2 linked regions of the Mytilus edulis genome follow. The protein of the gene in region 1 binds, or shares a complex with, the protein of each later gene. Links are inferred from orthologs where the notes say so. Each region holds a gene or a part of one and is shown on either strand. Other genes may lie near its edges.

Region 1 (11,969 bases):
TCCTATTTGAAATTTCTTCAGGAGTTTGGTATTTTTGTTATTTTACTTTTTGCAATGGAAATCGATGTAAACTTCATACTGCCCTCCTGTCATGTTTATGACATTGCTGTAAGAAATCTTCTATACAGCAATAGTTATTAAGAGTGTAGGAGGGTAAAATTTCAAATCAACAGCTTTCAATAGGTACTTTTGGTTTTCTTTCAGCAATTGCAAATGACTGAATGTTTCATGTCATATCTTATTGTATTTTTATTGGTGTTGATGACAGATCTTTGTTAGTTTCTGTTTTATTTGCTTGCAACTTTTGTAGATTTCCACTCTCAGTGCCATGTTTTCTTCTTATTTCAGAACCATTGCCACAAATCCTTGAGGGGCCCATAACTGAACTGCTGCAAGGCAAAATTTCAGCCCGACTAAAATGCCTTTTTCCAGTTTGTTAAAACTCAAACCATCATCCTGATTACACTATGCAGAACAGATTATTATTCATTTGCTTTCATCCTGAATATGCATGAAATATTTGTCACTGGACAATCAACACAAAACATAAAGACCAACATTTCAGAAGTGATACATTGTACTTCCAAACCAGGTTGTCATTTTTTTCCAATTTAAAGGGTAGACATAGCTTGTGCTAAACCATTTTTGAAATTTACAATTTTTTTCTTCAAAATTTTTCAGGATAAAGGAAAAAAATGCAAAAAGATTGGGCAACACAATACTAAACAGAAATTGGTACTGAATCTAGGATCTGGAACAAAATCAGATAGTTCAGAATGGCACGGGGGATGGGGGTGGTCTTAACATGGGTTTTTGGGTACAGATGTGCAGCTGGGATTTCAAAAATACCCTTCATTCATAAATGGTAGTCTTGTGAAATCCTGACCCATAAACATATTTCATAGCAAAATCATAACCCATACATATATTCCTCAGTTATCACATATTAATTTTTTTACAGCTTGACTTGATTTTAAACAATAAAACAGCATTTACACAACAATCAAAAGATGAAAGTTATTGACCCTTTACCTTGGTGAAATCCGAACCCATTGATATATTTGATGTGTCAAAAAAGTGACCCCTGAAAAAAGGTTAATAGTTTAGCTCCAAGTCATATTGGTCCTGTTAATCCTGCTCAGATTTTTTTATGAAAAAGATAAGGTATCAAAATAATCAACCATTAGTGGAAAACATGTTGTCTTTATTTTTGTAAATACGTAACATTGAGAAAATGATTATGATACCGGTATTACAAGTTATGAGATAAAGATAATATAAAGTATATAATCAATCATGCTACTGCTGGCTCCTGTGGTGAATACTGTCTTTTACTAACATATATCTTCTGATTGGAAACTGTTATAACATACATATAACTTTCCCAAACAACTGTAAGAAAAAATACATTTTTTACTAAATTAATTTTAAAGCAAACATAAATAAGCATTTTAGTCAATGCATAATTTTGATAGTCTTTTAAATTTCAGCTTGACATATTTTGTAAACACTGTAAAATGAAAATAAAACTTTATAAATTTATAAGCTGATCTCTAGAATGTTGTTGAACTTTACCCCATATTTCATTATATTCCTATAGCAAAACATTTCATAAAACATATGACAATAAACAGCTGCACCTAACACAAATGCTTCAACATTATTGTGAAGATTGAAATTGGATATTAAGAAGGCATATAATCAGAAGCAAACATAATGGCTATGAAGAATTCATCAGAATACCCTTAGATGTACAAATATTGTATTAAATGACATCCAAGTTTTGTAACTCTTGAATAACAAACCAGAAAATCTTTTTAATATCAAAAGGGAGTCTACTTTCAGAAAGAGTTGAGTATGCTAAAATTTGAGCCAAGCATACAAGAGATAGTGCATAGCATTTGAAAAAAAATGCTTTTAATTCATTTGACAGTCAAAATTCCCAAACTCGGAAATGACATATCAGACAAAAAAATAATTGAACATAAGTGTTATATTCAACAATTTAAACAATTCCAGAAAATGTGAAAAGCTTGCAGATGATGGATAACAAACAACAAGTGTTGGCAGTATTTCATAGCACTGGCACTTTATGCCTTTACAACCTACATAATACAGTAAATACATTACTGAGTGTTTGATAAATCTAAACTAGCTTTTAAGCAGTATATACCTGAAATTCTTTTAAAAGTATCTCTCTTGTCTGAAGTAACTTGAATTCTGTTTGCTGTATGAACTAGCTTCAGAACTTTTTCAGCTATAGATTCTGCATTTTGTAAGTCTCCTCCTGACTAAAATTGATAATATAATATACCTTTGAAATGTTGAAATGATTGATTGATAGTTATACATCCACATGCAAATATTTCAAGCATATTCAACTGTCACCACCATCCCCCCCCCCACTCTTCCGTTTCCCCAATTTCATAATAGCAGGTGCACATCACTTCAATATATCTTAATCTTTGATAAAGGAGTAGGTTCGGTAAGGGCCATATTTGGCCATGATTATAAAGTTCAATGTTACAAGACAAAAACTGTTTTAAGTTGGCTTTAAGACATATATGAGAAAGTTAAATGGTGCTATTTTTGTCAAAGTTTAATTCTAAAACGTTGATTTTAATATCTCAAAAAGGTCAAGATAAGAGATTTTCGAGAAATTTGACAATATCGTCTGGATTTCAACCAAATATAGGACCAGGAAACATAGAGTGCATACGTGGACACACTTGATAAGTTGATATTAAAATGAGAAATGTGAAATGTCTGCACAAACATTATTTTAAAAGATCTATGGACTTGACCACCAAAACTTAACCTTGTTCACTGATCCATGAAATGAGGTTGAGGTCAAGTGAAAACTGTCTGACGTGCATGAGGACCTTGCGAGGTACGCACATACTAAATATAGTTATTCTTTTACTTATAATAAGAGAGAATTTAACTTTACAAAATATCTAAACTTTTTTTCAAGTAGTCACTGAACCATTAAAATGAGGTCATGGACAGTGGACATGTGACTGACGGAAACTTTGCAACATGAGGCATCCATATACCAAGTATGAAGCATCCAGATCTTCCACCTACTAAAATATAAAGCTTTTAGCCGCCGCCGCTGGATCACTATCCCTATGTTGAGTTTTCTGCAACAAAAGTTGCAGGATGGACAAAAATGAGGGAAGATTAAAACTTGTACTGTTAAAATTGTTTTCCTAACGAATATGCAATGTATTTTTTTATTCTTTTCTTTAATTAGTAGTTAGAATTTTTTCCAACAAAAGCAAAACAAATATATATGCATGTACCAATACTACAAAAAAACTCACACTTAGAACAGCCCCATCATCAGTTAGCACCAGGTAACCATGAGAGTCATGAATCTTGTCTATTCCTTGTGCAGTGGTCATTTTCTATTTTCTGATCTGAAATAATATGATGTACATGTTTTAATTGTCACTAAACTAGTGGTCATTATACAAAGAGATACTATTCAAGGACTCTGTTTTGTGTGCTACTTCTTACCAAGTTGTAGAAAAATATCAGTTATCAATTTATATTATTGCTAAGACTGTGTCCTTAATTAAGCATGAATAGTATTAGTTTATTATCCTTACTTACTAATATCACTAATTAGATTGGATTACAATTTTTGGTTCATTTATATGTTTTGTAAGTTTATGCCAAATTAAAAAAATAGCCTATGTACCCGTTTTTTTGTGTATTTTTTTCCAATATGCACTGTTAAAGCAGAATGTTCCTCCCATAGACTCTATGTGAGAAAAAAAAATGGTAAAATAAAAATAAGTCCCTACCTACATTTACCTACCCTACTTTTTTCAAAGATGATCATGTAATATAGGAAACACATATATTGTTCTTTTGGCCTTAGTGTGGTTTTCATTTGTGTTGAACTAGTATATATCATTGTTTAGGGGCCAGCTATGGCTTTCTACAGGTACTGCATTTTGTTTTGCTGCATTACATCTAGCTATTTATAGTGGCCTTGGGCTGTTTCAGCTTTTTGATTGTGTTGATGTCTATCTATTGCATACACCGTTTCCATTCTCAGTTCAATTTAATGTAACAATGGGACGTAGAAATATCAGAGTGACCACTAATCTGTAATGGAGATTTTCTGATTTCGCCATCCTTGCTTCAAACACAGAATTCCAAAATGGATTAAGTGTATTAGATATCATTTGCTTAGTTTGAAGAAGACATTCATCAGTGGTCCATTTTTGTATATATGTTTTTTTTCCTGGGTACCGACTACTGACTAGAGCTTTCCAAGACTTCAGAATTATTTTGTCATAAAAATTCTACTCTTAGATTTTCTAAATGAGACTTTTTATGTTGAAAACTGCATTAATTACTGCCAATACCATGAATACTGGTGAAGCGAATTATTAATATCTGTGCACCTATGACTTACGTATGACTTCACATTACTATGTAACCTGTGTAATTGGGGATACAGAAAAATAATGTTGGATTAAGCAGTGTGTCGGAATACTCAGGTTTTTTTCTGAAGGATAGGCTTACTTTGGGACCCTGAAAATGTGACGGTCCAAAATTAGTAAAAACTCTGTTATGAGAGTTCCACAAATGGCTGGTGAGTTACTGCATATTTATTTTAATAAAGGCATGATTTATATGACGAAATACAATCAAGTTTGAACCAGATTGTCAATGCTGCAGAGCAAAATTTGTTTTGACAGATCTAATCTAAATTTGATTTAAACAAAAACAACTTTTATTTGATGATGTAATTTTTTTTATGGGAAATTGGCTAAATATGGTTATAATTGTAGCTATAGGATTCCAGTAATAAATTTACTCATGAACTTATTACATGTATTGATTTTAATATTTTCTGTCCCTTTGGAAGACTAAAACAATAACAAGACCTATTCTATGTCTAATACATTGCAGATATGAGATAATCAAGTTTGGGCGATATCACCAGCCACGCAGACACTGGAGACGCCACTGTATTTGTATAAATGCACGGATTTATTAATCAATACTCCTTATCACAATTCTTGGCTGACACGGCTGCTTGAACTTTTGATGTCATACAACAATCACTTTTCTATTAATTTTGTGGTGTCAGATATTTTGTTTTATGACAACAAAATTTTACAGGAACCTAAGTAAGTAAGTAAGTAAATTTTATTTAGAGTCGGCATATATATACATAATAACAGAGAAAACATGAGCTCTGGTGAGCTCTTGAACCTGTGTGATATCCAGTAATTATAATGGCCACAGGCCCTTGTTTCTATCCATTGGAAGACCCACTATCAACGTATATTTATGTAAATATATTTTGATAGTGGGTCTTCCAATGGATATAAACAAGTGCCTGTGATATGACTATGGCAGTATGGGGGTTCATTACACTGTAATACAATTGAACAAATTTGTACTACAATTAAAATTTATATATTATTTATTTATTGTCAATTGAGTTTATCTTTAAAGTTTTACAATAGTCAACTGATTGCTGAATAAAAGATATATGACTGTTTCTCATAACAATATATTTACTTTTATAAAAAGATGATGTTATAGTTCATTGTTGTTTCAAACAATATAACTTTTATCAACTTAGGGCACCTGTTTGCTGTCTGCTTATTAAACTTCCGGTAGATAATTTATTCGATCACATGATCTGTAGTCTCGTCTTCGGAATCGAAAAATCTTCAACTATTTGTATATTTGATTGTTTTGATTTCGTTACCAGTGTAGTAAGACATCAAGGGATGATTTTAAATGATTGTTTAGCCCTAAATATGTGCAAGCAATCTTCAATTTAGCGAAATCAATCGGAGAACATTGGGTCACATGATCAAAATCGAGATGTTTAAAATGGTGGACGGAGTAAATTTCCGAAAGCGAAAACTCCCCTAGACTGACAAATACGTCTCTAAAAGCATAAACACAAGCGAGTCCTTATCAATAATGTAGTTATCATATTGTAACATGGAAAACTCTTCTAAAGTAGCCAGAAACTACTTCGAATTATCGTCATACCAGGTAATTTATTTGAAAAACAGGCTCTGGCTGCAAATTAAGGTTCATCATAAGGAATTGAAAAATATGGCCGTGTTTACACCTCCAAAATTACTATGAGTACAGACAAACTGGTACATCCAGGAAAATTTTAAGGCATGGCAGGAACTAGATATATAAAAGTTATATGAAGTCTACGTTTCAGAAAATTATAAACTTACCTGGATTTTGATGTTCATTTTTTTCCAGTCTGCAGAAGATAGCAAAATAAACAAACACCCGAGTTTCGTTTGATACGGTCCACTCAGTTACACAGTTTAAACCTGTTAAATCACCTATTGTTTACAGGTGTCTATTGTCCATCTATTGTCCATTTAAATCAATACTACTCACAACATTGATTATATGAGGGGAGCTTCTCAATCGTTTTCACTACTTAGTTAATTTTTGCACCTTCTGCAGGAACGAAAAAAAATGGATAGCAAAATCTAGAAAAGTTTATAATTTTCTGAAACATAAAATGCATTTAAAATTTATATATCTAGTTCCTGCCATCCCTTAAAACTGTTGCAGGTGTATAGGTTAGTCTGTACTCAGAGTAAAATTTGGGGTATAAATACGGCCATTTTAGCCAAAAGGTTATGATGAACCTTAACTAAATAATGAAACAATATTCAAATAATTACCGACACCGACGATACAAACATTTTGGTTTCCAATTTCTTATGCGACTTTTCATACGAATAATCTGACATGGCTCATGTGAATGTGCATCTGGTTGTGCAAAGTGTGTACATAATAATTTAGCTAAAAGTAAATGAAGTATATAGTCCAAATAAATTATTATGACATCTTGAAAGGCTATTATATGTTTTCTTTGCTCCTAACATTGACAGGAAGGTGTCAAAGTAAAAAATTTGAAATAGCTTTCCAAGACATCATAAATATTTGGACTCTTCCCAAAAATATTTCTTTCAGCTATTCTTCATTCCATTTTATTCCGATATAAATCTAGCTTCGGAACCGTAGCTCTGAGGTCCTTCTGATTTGATTTATTTAAAATATATATTTAACATACATGTAGGTGCAAATTGTCAAAAAAATATCATAAGGATCTAAGAGACTAAGATCCATGGTCCTGCAGCTATACATGTATCTAGTCGAAATAATTATGACGTTGTATGATGTCTTGAAAGGCTATTATATTTTCTTCTGTGACGCCTTACGTCACAGGAAGGCGTCAAAGCAAAAATTCAAAATAGCCTTTCAAGACGTCAATGTCTCATAATTATTTGGGCTACAGCTATACCATGACGTCTACAAAGTACTGAGGGTAACATTTTATTTAAAAAAATAACATTAAGGTTTATGTACCCTTCTGTAGCCATTTTTGTACGAATTTTTCAAACCTCAATTGTATCAAAACTAAAGATATAATAAATAATAGAGATAGGCCATTTAGTACATGTTCCAAGGGGAAACTTGATGTAAAGCATTATTGTTTACTGTTTCATTGCATTTGATAGAAAAAGAGGACTTTGTGGCAAATAAATCAAGATTTTTATAGAAAATCCACAGCCTTTAATACAGAGATTTTTGTTATAAAATTTGAAACATAAATTACTCACTTGATTTTCTATGATGTGCTAGTGTTTATTTTTTACAAAAAGTTCTAAGTAACCTGTAAATTCCAAAACACCTCGTGCTAAGTCACTAAAGTCGAGCGCACCCTAAAAGGTGTACTTGATTTTGGCCATATTTATACTTGTCTTAACCAATAACTACATTTATAAACTTGTTTTAAGGAAATCAATGCTAGCACTGCATGCAATAATCCTATATCTATCAGTCATCAAATTGCCAAATATGAGAGTACAAGGACATGAAGGATAAAGGCTGTGGATTTTCTATAAAAATCTTGATTTATTTGCCACAAAGTCCTCTTTTTCTATTAAATGCAATGGAACAGTAAAAAATAATGCTTTGCATCAAGTTTCCCCTTGGAATATGTACAAAATGACCTATCTCTATTATTCATTATATCTGTAGTTTTGATACAATTGAAGTTTGAAAAGTTCGTACAAAAATGGCTACAGAAGGGTACATAAACCTTAAGAAAAATTATACAAGTAAATCAATTACAGAATAAAAATAAGAATGAATGTTTCAGTATGAATAGGGTACAGTTGACATTTATCTATGACATCACAAGTAAAATAAAGCTTGAAATCCATAACTTCATATTTATAACAAGGTTGGAAAAAATAGTCAATACTAGTAGTGAATAGGCCTTAGTTCAGTAAATAAAAGGAAATACTGGTCTATTAAAAATTTGGACAAGACATTGCAATAAAAACTGGTCTTTGCTGGTCAACAAAGGACAGATAGTCAGTGGCTGGAAAGACATGACAGAAAGCTATATGTTGTTAATTTCAATATTGTTATTTTCAGAGAAGACTAAGACATTTAAGATGTCTAGCTTTAAGAAATTTATGTTGGCCAGGACACAAAGGAAAAGACTTGACCAATCTACAGTCCTACTTCACTCTACATATAGACAGAAATGTTCCAGGTACAGTGTTATACCATGGTCTTGAATTAATATAACTTATTGTAACATAAAAGGTTTGGATGGGGAAGTCTTCATTCATGCATTCTTTGAATGTTTCGGCCATTTTTCTCTATTCACTATATTTTTGTCATATTTTTCTCTTTTTTTTAGGACCAGTTTTCTGTAGTTATTACTCATTATTTTAGATTGAGGGGTCACGGTGGTAGATAGGGTTCTGATCCTGAAATCCCAGGCTTAAAAACACGAAATAATGAGGTCACAAATTTTGATAAATTTAAATCCCTACATCCTGAAATTCGAAAAAAAGAATTCCTGAATCCTTAAAGGGTCAATCCCGAAATCCTGAGCTTAAAAACACCTGATCCCGGAGTCCTGATAAAGGTCCTATCCCCACCTTAGCACCTAGATGCTGTAAACCCTATCCAGCCCTCCTAGAGTTTGTGGAATTAACTTGATTAACTACTTATTTTAGTTTCCAACTGAAACAAAAAATGATATAAAACAAAACAATATGTGGGGTATAAATCAAGCAATAGCAATGCAATGACTGAACAGAAGGAGTGAAATCAAGAAAAATAACATGCTTAAGCCTTAAGTAAGAGATTGACTTTCATTATAAAAAAGATAAACAAAAGATATATGAGGTAATAATCCATGACCTAAAAAGCAGTACATGCTTATTATTAATTAGTCTAAAAAAACACAAAAAGCAAAGAAACAGGCTTTTATTGATGTTCTTCATCTTTAAGTCTATGTGAGGCCTTTAACATGAAGCAAAAAAACAACTCACTGCACAGCAAGTAATAGACGGTCCCTAGCACTGGTTTGAGAGAAATTCTTTGCAAAAGATTTCTGTAGACTTCTGCTCTTTGTTTGAGTCAGTCTTTTTGACACATTCCCTGTTTCCATTCTAAATTTTATTGCAACATGTAGCACACTTTCCCATTATTTTGATGTATTCATACAGTGAGTATGCATCTAATTTTGCTAATGGATGAAATGAGACTGTTGTGTTAAATATCAGCCACATTGTGATACCTTTGTGGGGTTTCTTTTCAATTATATTAGAAAGTATTTTGTTATCTGCTATAAACATGATAAAAGTACAAGGCTGACAATAGTTGATTTCAGTTATTTAAAATAACTGAAATCTACTTATTTTTCATAGTACATGTAATTGCATCATAAAATTTTCTTTTTAGCATTTTATACAAGTGAAAAGATACAGGGATCTCTGGTGAGTAACTCGGCAAAATGTTTGTAAGATTATAGCTTATCATTATCAAGAAAACTTGCTGTTGATTTGAAAAAGTACATTGAATTATTATTCATATTATAAGAACAAATGTATATGACAAAATATGTAGTAATTGCTATAACCTGCAAATTAATCCTTCTTAGAGTTGTTGCCCCTAAATGATGATTTCCAATGTATTTTTTGCTAATATTCTTAAGTTATAATAGGTATTAAAGAGAAACAATCCTAATATAAAAGGAATAAAACTTCCTACTAGAACTGGGGACTTTATTGAAACAAAGCTAAATATGTTTGCTGACGATACTCAACTCTTTAATAAAAGCGAGGAGTCTATCGAAGAAACATTTAAAACTTTAAAACTGTACGAAAATGCTTCGGGGGCTAAAATGAATATGGATAAGACTGTTGGCATGTATTTAGGCAAGTGGCGAAATAAAAAACCAAAATTTAACAAAATTAAATGGTCTAAGCGTCCTGTGAAAGCATTAGGGGTACAATGTACTACATGGATACGGGGTGGACTTAGATCAAATTTGGTTAGAAAAAATAAATTAAATAAAATGCTGTATGGAAGTTTGGAAATCACGAGATCTCACATTTACGGGAAAAGTCTTAATTATTAAATCCTTTGTACTGTCCGTCATTGGATACGAAATTGAAATGAGAGGTATCCGGGATATATACGAAAAACAAATAAATAATATTATATGGTCCTTTATATGGGATGGGAAAACAAACCAAGTCGCTAGAACAGTGTGCTGTTTACCGAAAGAAAAAGGGGGGGATAGGAATGATAAACTTGAGGGACTTTATTAAATCAAAACAAGTGAAAAGTATGTACAGTATTGTCAACTCAAAAACACAAAAATGGAATGCAATAGGAAAATACTGGTTAACGTCACAAGACGAAAAATATGATACAGACTTTTTTATATGTTCTTGTTCGGACACTACATGTTTTAAGCAAATACAAATGTCCAAATATTATAAAGAACTTTTAATTTCCTGGACTGACTTACAGAAAATCCAAAAATCGGTCACGAAAGAGGACCTTTTAGAAGAAAATATTTTCGGCAATTGTAAATTGAAGTTCAAGGGACATGCATTATATTATGCAAATTTTGCCTCCAGTGGAATAAAAAAAATTAAAGATATATGGGACTTAAACAATAAATCCTTTAAAACATCCCTTGATATTTTTAACAGTCTTAAAGATAAAAGGAATTGGATTGCACAATATAGCCGCATTAAATCTTCGTTAACACCTCAACAAATTGACGTTTTAAAAACAGACTCTAGTATACATAGTCATTCTGATGGACCTATAAAAATAATAAATTCTTGTCAATTTATAAAAAATGGAGTTGTCGTTGATGCAAAAAAATTATGCCTTAAAGATATTAGATACTTTTATAAGAATAAAACAGCTCCAAATAGTCAGTTGAAGTGGAATTTACATTTTGGGAATGAACTACCATGGGATTACATTTGGGAAACTTTGAATAAGAATTTAGCTAACAGGAAAATTAAACAATTTCAATGGAAGTTACTACATAATATAATTTACACTGAAGAAAAGTTACAAAAAATGAATCGCTCAAACGGGAAGTGTCACTTTTGCAATGAAAAAGAATCACTATTTCATCTTTTTATTTATTGTAAACTGGTGGAAGACGTTTGGCGGGAAATTTTTGAGAAAATAAGGGAATTTTGTTCAAAATTAAATATCCAAAAATTACAAAAATCGGAAACAAGTATAATTTTTGGGGTCATTAATGCAGATGCATCTTATACCCAAATTTTAGATATGGTGCTTTTAATTACGAAATGGGTTATCTGGAAAACTAGAAATATCGCAAAATATCAAAAGAAAGGGATAAGTGAATTGGTGATTTTAAATATGATAAAACATGAAATGCAATTTCTGCTCAAATATTTTAAACCGAATACGAAAATCGAAGCCTTTTCTACTATGTGTGACATTTTTTAAATATAAATATATATTTTGCATGGTCAGGTCAGTTCAATGACCTCTTTGATACTGATTGAATAATAGTATGTACACTGCTCGCAACTCCCTACATGTAATTTCTGTTGTGTATATATTCATGTATATCATCTAAT
Region 2 (11,633 bases), on another chromosome or scaffold:
TTTTTTGTTTACCATTTTTTGAAGGGCTTTCTTTTTTTTCAAAGAAGTTTCAAGAAGAAATCTTCAATTGCACAGTATTGTGCAATAGATTTGTTAGATCTTTGACCACATTAATTTTGTGACAAAAACCTATATTATGTCAAAAATTTGATCACAATCCAAATTCAGACGGAATCAAGCTTGAATATTGTGACCAAATTTGCCCCAACTATTCAGGGTTCAACCACTGGGGTCGTATAAAGCTGCGCCCTGCAGAGCACCTGGTTGATAATATATAGTTTCATTTACATCCAAACAAAATGTATTAATGGAGGGCATTCCATAACTGGTAAGCAACCAAATGTTTTTGACACAGGAAATTATTTTGGAATAGCAAATTGTACCTGCATGTACATATTGATTTTCATTGAAATCCTGTTACAAACATAGTTCCTAAAATTTGGTATTGTTATCCAAAATTAAAATTAACTACCAATTTTGACATAAAAGGGATCACAAGGATGTTACAAGATTTAGATTTTCCTATGAATTTACAAAAATAAGACAGGAACCCCTTTTATCCATCCCAGGACCCTTAAAAGTAAATGCTGGTATTGAGTTCTTATCATTGAATGCTTTTTCCTTTTCTTACCTCACATTCCAACAGAACTAATTTTAATTTATCATCATTAAAAGCTGCAGACCCACTCTTCTGATAGGCTGTCCAAATGTTACCAGCTATAGCAGCTGAAACAGCAGCATCTTTGTCACCATAACCAGAATAGGCTAATAAGGCTCCTTCATTGTTCAACAACCTAAAAATAGATCAATTAAAAAAAATCTCTTGTTAAAAAAAAATGAATATAATTACAAGTATCAGCATCAAAATAAAAGTGCATATGCATGTAATATGCAGTCCTTTTACCGGGTAATATCAAAATAAATAGCTATCAAGACATGGACTTTCTATTTAGCCTTAATGTTCTAATTGGGTGAGAGCAACACCTATATCATGTATATATACATACATACTAATCCTGTTCCAGTTTTGACATTTTTATTGACCCTTTTTATAAAACAATACATGATATACATGTAGGAGCATATGGTTTCCTTCAACTTTGTATCTGATTACACCTTAAAACACTTTTTAGAAAATTTGTACTGGTATATACGGTATTATGACCCCTGCGTCAATTTACCATATTAAGGTATTTAGACCTCAAGTTCACTTTACAGAAGGTTCAAAATACCATGTGACACCAGGTCAATTGATCCTGTAAAGTGAGTCAAATTACCAAGATTTAAAAAAATTATAAATCTAATTCATTATATATATATGATAACCCAACTTTGAGATTCCTTGTAGTATAGTTTTTATTGTTATATCACTCTGGTTTCATGGTGAATATAATAATATTGTAACTGATTTAAGAGGTGATCAACAACCATGATATTGACATCAATAACAAAAGATTTGACAGCTTTCATTCACCTTGCACTAATCTTTTAACTTTTATTCACCCTTTACCCCCCTCTTTAGGCTCTTATAAACAAACAAATAATTTTAATTTTATACATTGCATGTTAGTCCGAGATTACTCTGACGTCCAACGGCTGTTTTGCCAGACAAGCTGGGGCCGTGGGACTTGTCTTGCAAAACAGCTGTTGGACATCTGAGTAATCTCGGACTAATAATTTGCATGTATGATCTAGCCTGCTTGCATGTTCTTTTTTTAACCTGTTTAAATGGTTTTTTTCTTCTTCTTTTGTTACAGAAAACCATCCATGTACTGATGTTTACTTTCCAGTGCATGCCTGGTATATGTTTTTTAATAAATTTATGTGAATAATTTTTGTGAAAATATAAATTAACAAAATATTTCTTGTTCAAAGTTGTTTTTGGTCATATATTTTTGTATTTTCAATTTTTACAATTTTTTCTTTGTTTTTAATTTATACAATTTTTTATTTAGTTTTTAAATATTACATTTTTTATTTTTATTTTTTGGTATAAGATAAAAACAAGAGTATCTGTTTATTTCAGATGAGGGTAAGTATCAAGGAGCACGTGTGAGTGCATCCTTAAAGTTTTCTGTAGTAGTGTTTTTGGTAATTTCAGAGGATAGTTTGTGGACAGTCTTTGATGGTTTGACAGAAAAAAGAAAATTTATAGCTGTCTTAATTGCAATGAATTTGTCTGTAGGATTCTTTATTGGTGGATCTTGTAGTAGACTGACTCTGTTGTAATACATTTTGCGATGGAATGGCTATATTTTCATTTACAATTTTGTGGAACATTATAAGCCTTGTTCGTAGTTGGCGTTCTTGTAAGGTTTGCCATTTCATGGTGTCTAGCATCTCAGACACACTGCTGGTGTTGTGATGTCTATTGCACACGTACCTTGCTGCCCATCTTTGTACTTTTTCCAGTGATTTTATATTTTCGTTTGTAAATGTGTCCCATACAGTACAACAGTATTCCAACTTTGGTCTTATGAGTGTTTGGTACGCTCTTTCTTAAATTGTTTGCGATTGGACTTTAAGGTTTCTTCTGATGAAACCTAAGGATTTATTTGCTTTTGCAGCGGTTTGTTGGATGTGGGTGTTCCATTTTAGGTCTGCTGAGATGGTGATACCTAAGTATTTTACATGTTTTACAGATTCTAAGATGTGTCCATACATGTTATAATAAAAGTGGATGGGATTTCTTTTTGTTGTTATATTCATGATGTTACAATTGTCTGGATGGAAAGACATAAGCCAATCTTTTTCCGGATCTCCTGTAGTTGGTGATCGCAATACTGGTATAAAAATTTTGTACCAGTATTGTATTCCAGTATCGGTGCATTACGTTTGCGCGCATTACCATTACATTTGCGCGTAAAAATCATTACGTTTGCGCGCAGCTTTTCATTACAATTGCGCGCATTTATTTGACAGGTAAACTCAGGTAAGCTTAGGCAATAACTCTTATTTATCTATGAATTTATTCAATTATTTTAAGTAAAAGTACCCTTTCCTTTTGACTAAGTCACCTATACTCACCCACGAGGAGGTAGAAGTTGGATACAAGCAGGATAAGTCGGTTGCATTATATTCTATCAATCCGGAAATTTTAATACTCATAGCATACTAATGATTTTCTCCCCCGATTTGCTATTAAAAAAAATTTCAAATGTCCGTTACTTGACAAAACTTTACAATCTAGCTTTCAATAGATTATTTACGAATTTTAAAGAGATCACTATTCGGGGTACTTGATCACCCTGAAAAAATTCGCAATGAAGTTACATGTATGCCTTAAGTTATAACAGAATTTATCATGCACACTTTATATTTTGTCTTAGAATACAATATGAACAATATAAATTATGATTAAAACATCTTTTCAAAGTTAATGAAATTTTATATTATTCATATTTCATCATATACCGTTTTTTACCTGGGTTTACCTGTAAGATAAATGCGCGCAAATGTAATCAAAAGCTGCGCGCAAACGTAAAACATTTTAATCCCCAAATGCGCGCAAACGTAGTGCGCCCTCCAGTATTGTACCAGTATTGTGCTTTTTTTTAAATAAACAATATAGGTAATTAATCTTTTATTAAAGGTGTCACATATATGCATAATGAAATTAACATATGACATGACAATTTTATTAGGAATGATTGTGTTTAGCTGATGATGCCATAGATGGTACACTGTGATTGTCATCAAATAAAGTTTTAAATCTTCTGATGTTTTTTTCTTAACCATTCTGTATCAGCATTTTAACAAACTCTATACTTTCTTCTATGTTTTCTTTCAGCTCTCTCTTTCCAAGATTCATGTAGTATATTTTAGTGAATTTTATATTGACATTAATGCTGTTATAGCTTCTGTATCATCAGCATTGGTATTGTCTATTTCTTCTTCAGATGTGATTTCTGCAACCCCTCCCCCTTCCTATATTGGTATTTAGGTATTCTGTCTCTGTGGACTTTCTCTAACGCTTACTAGATTACAAGCTATTTCAGATAGCATTTGAACAGCTCTCTTACTGTCAGAATGCTGGTCTAGTATTAGTATTTGTACCAGTAGATATACATGTATCTGCTACTAATTGTATTGTCCATGGTTCTGAATCAACTGCTTCAACCCTTAACATTCATGTAGACAAACTAGTTAATTTGATTATAACAAGGTTCCCCTATAAAGCAATTTTTTATAATTAATGAATAATATTGATATCTTTTGTTGTGAAAGATTAATAAGAAAATAAAGACAAACAAATGCATATGATCTTAGTACACAAAAAATGTATACATGTATTAAAATATCTGTCAAAATGTGTGATGGCATACATGTAAATGCTGAATTTACAGTGTTAGAGTCTAATAATTTGCTTGAATTTATTAAATTATTACTCAGATAATAAAAAGCTTTTATTTTATTTTATCTTTATTGAATTAAATAAAATATAGAAATATGATAAAATTATTAGCAATTGTTTAAATAATAATGATGTTATGAGTTAATTTCAATAATCCTTTGTTTATTTGTGCAAGTATAGTAATGACTTTTAACTGGTTGTTAATTGATTTCACAATTATCCTTTATAATCTTTTTGAGTTCATTTAATCTCCCGTTGATCTTCAATATAGTCTAGTCAACAATACAACTACAATACTGGTATATCAGTAATGTACCAGTATTGCTGGTTTTTTTTTATAAAAAGTTACAATACTGGTACAAATTTTTTAGTATTGTGGACAATACTGGTATACCAGTATTGCGATCACCAACTACAGGAGATCCGTAGATTATACTGTCATCTGCAAAGAGTCTGATTTTGCTATGTTGGATGTAATCTGGGAGGTCATTTATGTAAATTAAGAATAGTATTGGTCTTAGCACTGTACCCTGTGGGACTCCTGATGAGACTGGTATTTTTGAAGATGACATGTTTTCTAAAAGTACTGTTTGCGTTCTGTTTGAAAGAAAGGATTCTACCCAGTTAATGATTTGATCTGATAATGATATGCCAAAGTATTTCATTTTGTTTTCATTTATTTTTAGCATACTTTGTATATCATTAAATTCATAAACTTTGATATTAGTTAATATTCTTACAGTGTGCTTTGTACACCACCAGTATTTGCCTGACTCAAAACTTGAGTTAATGCTTTTGGCTTCAACATCTTTCACAAAATAATAGATCACATGATTCGGATCCAAAGCACTTTGTAACATTCTAAATGATTGGCCAATTTATTGAGGTTACGACCTGTGCTGAACTTCCGCAAATTTTGACTGGTACCCTTTGTAGAAATGTGTACAATTGAAAATAAGCTATCGTAGTTAATTATTACAAACCAGTCATCATTGAATTAGCATGGCAGAAAAGAAAGATCGTCTACCCGACGATGCTTCTGAATATTGGCTTTTCCCCTTGGTTGACACATCATTATGTCAAGAGACAAAGCGAAAAATTTTACTTGAATATATTGACACTTATCTTGCGTTTGTTAGTTCAACAATTGTCGACCACATTTGGCAAAAGGAGCAGTTTAATTTGACTGCTGTGACTGAAAAAGGTTACTTTGTTTACTTTTAGATTGCATTTCTGCCTGACTTTGAATCACCAAAAATAAATTGTAACCCTTCTATAAAATTTGCCCAAGATGTGAGGCATTTTCATTATTTTTCAGTCAAGTACTAAGACACAGGAATATCTGAGCTATATTGTCCTGAATGTGCATTAACAGTTAAACATGTGTAATTATATTTGCCACTGGCGATGCAACTCTTTGTAGAAATGTGTACAATTGAAAATAAGCTATCGTTATCGTAGTTAATTATTACAAACCAGTCATTTAATAAGCATGGTAGAAAAGAAAGATTGACTACCCGACAATGCTTCTGAATATTGGCTTTTCCCCTTTGTTGACACATCCTTGGATCCTTGGCTTATGTCAAGAGACAAAGTGAAAATTTTACTTGAATATATTGACACTTATCCTGCTTTTGTTAGTTCAACAATTGTCGACCACATTTGGCAAAAAGAGCAGTTTAATTTGACTGCTGTGACTGAAAAAGGTTACTTTGTTTACTTTTAGATTGCATTTCTGCCTGACTTTGAATCGCCAATAATAAATTGTAACCCTTCTTTATACGACCGCAAAAATTTTAATTTTTTGGTCGTATATTGCTATCACGTTGGCGTCGTCGTCGTCGTCGTCGTCGTCGTCGTCGTCGTCGTCGTCGTCGTCGTCGTCGTCGTCGTCCGAATACTTTTAGTTTTCGCACTCTAACTTTAGTAAAAGTGAATAGAAATCAATGAAATTTTAACACAAGGTTTATGACCACAAAAGGAAGGTTGGGATTGATTTTGGGAGTTTTGGTCCCAACATTTTAGGAATTAGGGGCCAAAAAGGGCCCAAATAAGCATTTTCTTGGTTTTCGCACTATAACTTTAGTTTAAGTGAATAGAAATCTATGAAATTTTGACACAAGTTTTATGACCACAAAAGGAAGGTTGTGATTGATTTTGGGAGTTTTGGTTCCAACAGTTTAGGAATTAAGGGCCAAAATAGGGCCCAAATAAGCATTATTCTTGGTTTTCGCACAATAACTTTAGTATAAGTAAATAGAAATCAATGAAATTTTAACACAAGGTTTATGACCATAAAAGGAAGGTTGGGTTTGATTTTGGGAGTTTTGGTCCTAACAGTTTAGGAATAAGGGGCCCAAAGGGTCCAAAATTGAACTTTGTGTGATTTCATCAAAAATTGAATAATTGGGGTTCTTTGATATGCCGAATCTAACTATGTATGTAGATTCTTAATTTTTGGTCCCGTTTTCAAATTGGTCTACATTAAGGTCCAAAGGGTCCAAAATTAAACTTAGTTTGATTTTAACAAAAATTGAATCCTTGGGGTTCTTTGATATGCTGAATTTAAAAATGTACTTAGATTTTTAATTATTGGCCTAGTTTTCAAGTTGGTCCAAATGGGGGTCCAAAATTAAACTTTGTTTGATTTCATCAAAAATTGAATAAATGGGTTCTTTGATATGCCAAATCTAACTGTGTATGTAGATTCTTAATTTTTGGTCCAGTTTTCAAATTGGTCTACATTAAGGTCCAAAGGGTCCAAAATTAAACTAAGTTTGATTTTAACAAAAATTAAATTCTTGGGCTTATTTGATATGCTTTATCTAAATATGTACTTTGATTTTTGATTATGGGCCCAGTTTTCAAGTTGGTCCAAATCAGGATTCCATATCAAGTATTGTGCAATAGCAAGAAATTTTCAATTGCACAGTATTGCACAATAGCAAGAAATATCTAATTGCACAATATTGTGCAATAGCAATTAATTTTCAATTGGAGTTATCTTTCTTTGTATAGAATAGTAGTTGATAATATATGTTGGAAATTTGCCAGACATGACTATGATGTCATTTTCTATTTTTATTTGCCAATAACTTTATGTAAATAACTTCATTGGAAATTTGCCAATATAAAATGTTGCTGATGAAGCTTTTTTTCCTTATCTTATCTAAAATGTTTTTAGATAATGTATGTTGGACATTTGTCAGACATGACTATGATGTCATTTTCTATTTTAATTTGCCAATAACTTTATGTAAATAACTTCATTGGAAATTTGCCAATATAAAATGTTGCTGATGAAGTTTTTTTTATTGTTTTATACAATAAACAATGTATATTCACTTTTACTACCAACCAATCTTTACCATTCAGTGATAACAAGCACTTTATTTTACATTTTAATATTTTATGATGTATTTAAAAGAGTAGTTATTATTGCAAACTCCATTAGAAATTTGAATTGATATCAGTTTTGGAAAAAGGGAAACGGGGATGTGAAAAAAAGGGGGGGGGGGGTTAAATTTTTCTCATTTCAGATTTCATAAATAAAAAGAAAATTTCTTCAAACATTTTTTTGAGAGGATTAATATTCAACAGCATAGTGAATTGCTAAAAGGCAAAAAAAAACTTTTAAGTTCATTAGACCACATTCATTCTGTGTCAGAAACCTATGCTGTGTCAACCATTTAATTTTAGATTTAAAAAGTTTGAAGAAGAAATCTTTAATTGATTTGTAAAATCTTGACATTTGTTTTGTGTAAAAAAAACTCATGTAATGTCAAAAATTTGATCACAATCCAAATTCAGAGCTGTATCACGCTTGAATGTTTTGTCCATACTTGCCCCAACTGTTCAGGGTTCGACCTCTGCGGTCGTATAAAGCTGCGCCCTGCGGAGCACCTGGTTAAAATTTGCTCAAGATCAGATGTGAAGCATTGTCATTATTGTTCAGTCTTGTACTAAGACACAGGCATGTCTGAGTTATATTGTCCTGAACATGCATTAAACATGTGTAATATTTGCCACTGGACACCAAGGACTACATGTATAGTAAATAACTCTTTTGTTGTTTAGCTAGCTAAGACAACAAAAAGATCCCCAAAATGGTTGAAGAAAGAAAGAAAGGAATTTGCTAAAATTAAAAAGCTTGAGTTGATATTTTTGTTACAAGACAATGAAGTTTAAATTTATAATCATATTTAAACAGGAGATGTGTAACATCTTATCATTATTTCTAGATAATTTACCACCTCACCTGTATGGAAAAACCTGTTATGGTGATAACGTTGAGGATGAATGGCTTATTGTTTACCTACTATTCACATTAACCAAACAGTTTGATTGCTTAGTTGCAAAGTAAGATACCTTCACTTGTATTTTTAAGATAGTCAAAAGTTATAAAGATTCATTATGCACATATTCATGATATTCAAACTTTTTTAGAAAAAAACTGACAACCTAAACTAAAATATATTTTTTTTTTTATATTTGCATTGAATTTGTAATTTCCTACATCATGTAGGTTTCTTCTAGTTAAATAAAATGTTTTTCTCTCTGTCAGACATTTGTCAAGTGTCCTTGACCTCATATTCATGACTCATGATCAGTGATTAATGTTCACTTTTGAAGACTTGTAGTTTTTCTGTTGCTATATATTAAAAGTGAATTATAGTATATATATATATTGATTATTCATATGAGGATGTTTCTTTTGGAGATTCTTGATTTTCTAGAGATGAGTGTAAAACATGTGAAATTTTCTCTCACAGTAATTATATTTTTGTAGTACATCACATATTTCTATTTTAAACAACTATTATGTAGTAGCTAAAAGTAAAAATGATAAACATGTTCAGTTGATTTCCCTTTAGTATTGGAAATACTATTTTGTTACGTCTTATAGAAATTCCTCTTAAAACTTTGTTATAAACAATGCTGTAATATTTGTTCCAGCAGGAACAAATATTCTTTACCATTTATTTCATTAGGAACAAACACTGTTGTGTATTATTTGTTCAGTGGAAATTAAATAATATTCCTGAATATGTTTTCCATTTGAACTTTATCATTGTTTATATTTTGAATGAACTTTTACCGGTATTTGGTGACATCTTTTATCAGTATGTGACTGTCATATGAATAACAAGATGTTACTCAGTATCATGTTTTCTAATTCAGAATTAAGGATAGTGATGAAGAGTTTATGCTGATAGAGGCTGCTGATAATCTTCCTAAATGGCTGGAACCTGATACTGCTGAAAATAGAGTATTTATTTCATTATTTATAGCATATTTTTGTATACATTTTTGTTTAGGGACCAGCTGAGACAAGCCTTTGGGTGCGAGATTTTCTTACTGCATTGAACACATATGTTGAAGACCCATGGTGGCCTTCGACTGTTATCTGCTTTTTGGTTGGGTTGTTGTCTATTTGACACATTCCCCATTTCCATTCTCAATTTTATAGGATTATCTGCTGCTTGTAGTAGAGATTCAAACACAGCTAACATGATAAAAAAGATCAACAACAATAGGTTTTACTTGTTATGAAGATTTTGAGAAAAATAACTAATTATTGGTTCACCTACTAAATATTGTAACAGGGTGATTTGTTTCTCACTTCTATTTGTCTGTTTCAGAGAGCTGTGTAAATCGCCCCTTCTTCGTCACATAGCATTCCATCTCCATTTGTCTGTTCCAGAGAGCTGTGTAAATCGCCCCTTCTTCCTCACATAGCATTCCATCTCCTTTTGTCTGTTTCAGAGAGCTGTGTAAATCACCCCTTCTTCCTCACATAGCATTCCATCTCCATTTGTCTGTTTCAGAGAGCTGTGTAAATCGCCCCTTCTTCCTCACATAGCATTCCATCTCCATTTGTCTGTTTCAGAGAGCTGTGTAAATCGCCCCTTCTTCCTCACATAGCATTCCATCTCCATTTGTCTGTTTCAGAGAGCTGTGTAAATCACCCCTTCTTCCTCACATAGCATTCCATCTTCATTTATCTGTTTCAGAGAGCTGTGTAAATCGCCCCTTCTTCCTCACATAGCATTCCATCTCCATTTGTCTGTTTCAAAGAGCTGTGTAAATCGCCCCTTCTTCCTCACGTAGCATTCCATCTCCATTTGTCTGTTTCAGAGAGCTGTGTAAATCACCCCTTCTTCCTCACATAGCATTCCATCGCCATTTGTCTGTTTCAGAGAGCTGTGTAAATCGCCCTTCTTCCTCACATAGCATTCCATCTCCATTTGTCTGTTTCAGAGAGCTGTGTAAATCGCCCCTTCTTCCTCACATAGCATTCCATCTCCATTTGTCTGTTTCAGAGAGCTGTGTAAATCGCCCCTTCTTCCTCACATAGCATTCCATCTTCATTATATTTTCGATATGTATAGACCAATTTCCCTTTGACAAAATTCCAAAGATGGTTAAAACAAACATAGAACTGTTCAAAAAGAGGGATTGGTGAAACTTTTACAATAACATTTTATTTGGTTATATCTTTGAAATAGGGCAAAGGAAGTATTAATGTTATTAATTAAAAAGAAATGTAGATGAGTTACAGAAAATGTTTTTAGTGTCCTAAATATTATTCTTGGTTTGATCTAATGCAGCTTAATCAGCTGATCACCCTTTAAAATGAAGTAATAAAAAAAGAAAACCAGGTAACAATTAACTGATTTGCAGTGCATAAATTTGTAGGTTCATGAATATGTACATGATGTATGCATACATTATTATTTATCATGTTTATATACAATGTACTTTCTTTACCAGCATACATGTATAAAATGCTAAATTTAAGGAATTGTTTATTTTTTCAGGTTTATATTTTTCAAGGAAACCTGCACATTATTCCATTTCCACAATCCCCTGCACAGATAACCACCTTGCCTAGTGGTGTTCCTGAAATACAATACGCAGTGAAATGTGTCAGAAACTATAACACTGCCACACTGGCTAGCACAGAGATAAATAATGCTGTCAAACAAAGGTTTGATGGGTAAGTTTTAACTGTCCATTCCCATATCCCTGCACAGATAAAACACACTCCCAAGTGAAATGTGTCAGAAACTATTACACTGCTACCCTTGCTAACACTGAGATAAATAATGCTGTCAGACAAAGGTTTGATGGGTAAGTTTTAACGGTCCATTCCCATAATTCCCATAATTTCCTGTACATGTAAAACACACTCCCAAGGGAAATGTGTCAGAAACTACAACACTGCAGTAATGGCTAGCACTGAGTGATTTTCCATCCCACAATTTCATACACAGAT

The links.
Region 2: ragulator complex protein LAMTOR4-like (region 1) and ragulator complex protein LAMTOR2-like share a complex: the UniProt entries of both Drosophila melanogaster proteins name them as parts of the ragulator complex. The link is inferred for Mytilus edulis from reciprocal best matches to the Drosophila melanogaster genes Lamtor4 and Lamtor2.

The regions. Positions count from the first base shown.
Region 1 is NC_092346.1:47,802,904-47,814,872, reverse strand, and holds ragulator complex protein LAMTOR4-like, read right to left. Parts: upstream 5,682-11,969; 5' UTR 5,551-5,681; intron 3,423-5,550; 5' UTR 3,408-3,422; coding exon 3,327-3,407; intron 2,292-3,326; coding exon 2,174-2,291; intron 1,393-2,173; coding exon 1,295-1,392; 3' UTR 1,184-1,294; downstream 1-1,183. Other genes in the region: UV radiation resistance-associated protein-like, read left to right, coding at 5,986-6,039, 8,467-8,587, 9,790-9,824. UniProt on the Drosophila melanogaster protein: Regulator of the TOR pathway, a signaling cascade that promotes cell growth in response to growth factors, energy levels, and amino acids. As part of the Ragulator complex, may activate the TOR signaling cascade in response to amino acids.
Region 2 is NC_092352.1:35,102,461-35,114,093, forward strand, and holds the start of ragulator complex protein LAMTOR2-like, read right to left. Parts: upstream 5,222-11,633; 5' UTR 5,163-5,221; coding exon 5,095-5,162; intron 795-5,094; coding exon 632-794; intron 1-631. Other genes in the region: protein ecdysoneless homolog, read left to right, coding at 5,357-5,558, 8,596-8,713, 9,536-9,623, 11,176-11,354. UniProt on the Drosophila melanogaster protein: Regulator of the TOR pathway, a signaling cascade that promotes cell growth in response to growth factors, energy levels, and amino acids. As part of the Ragulator complex, may activate the TOR signaling cascade in response to amino acids.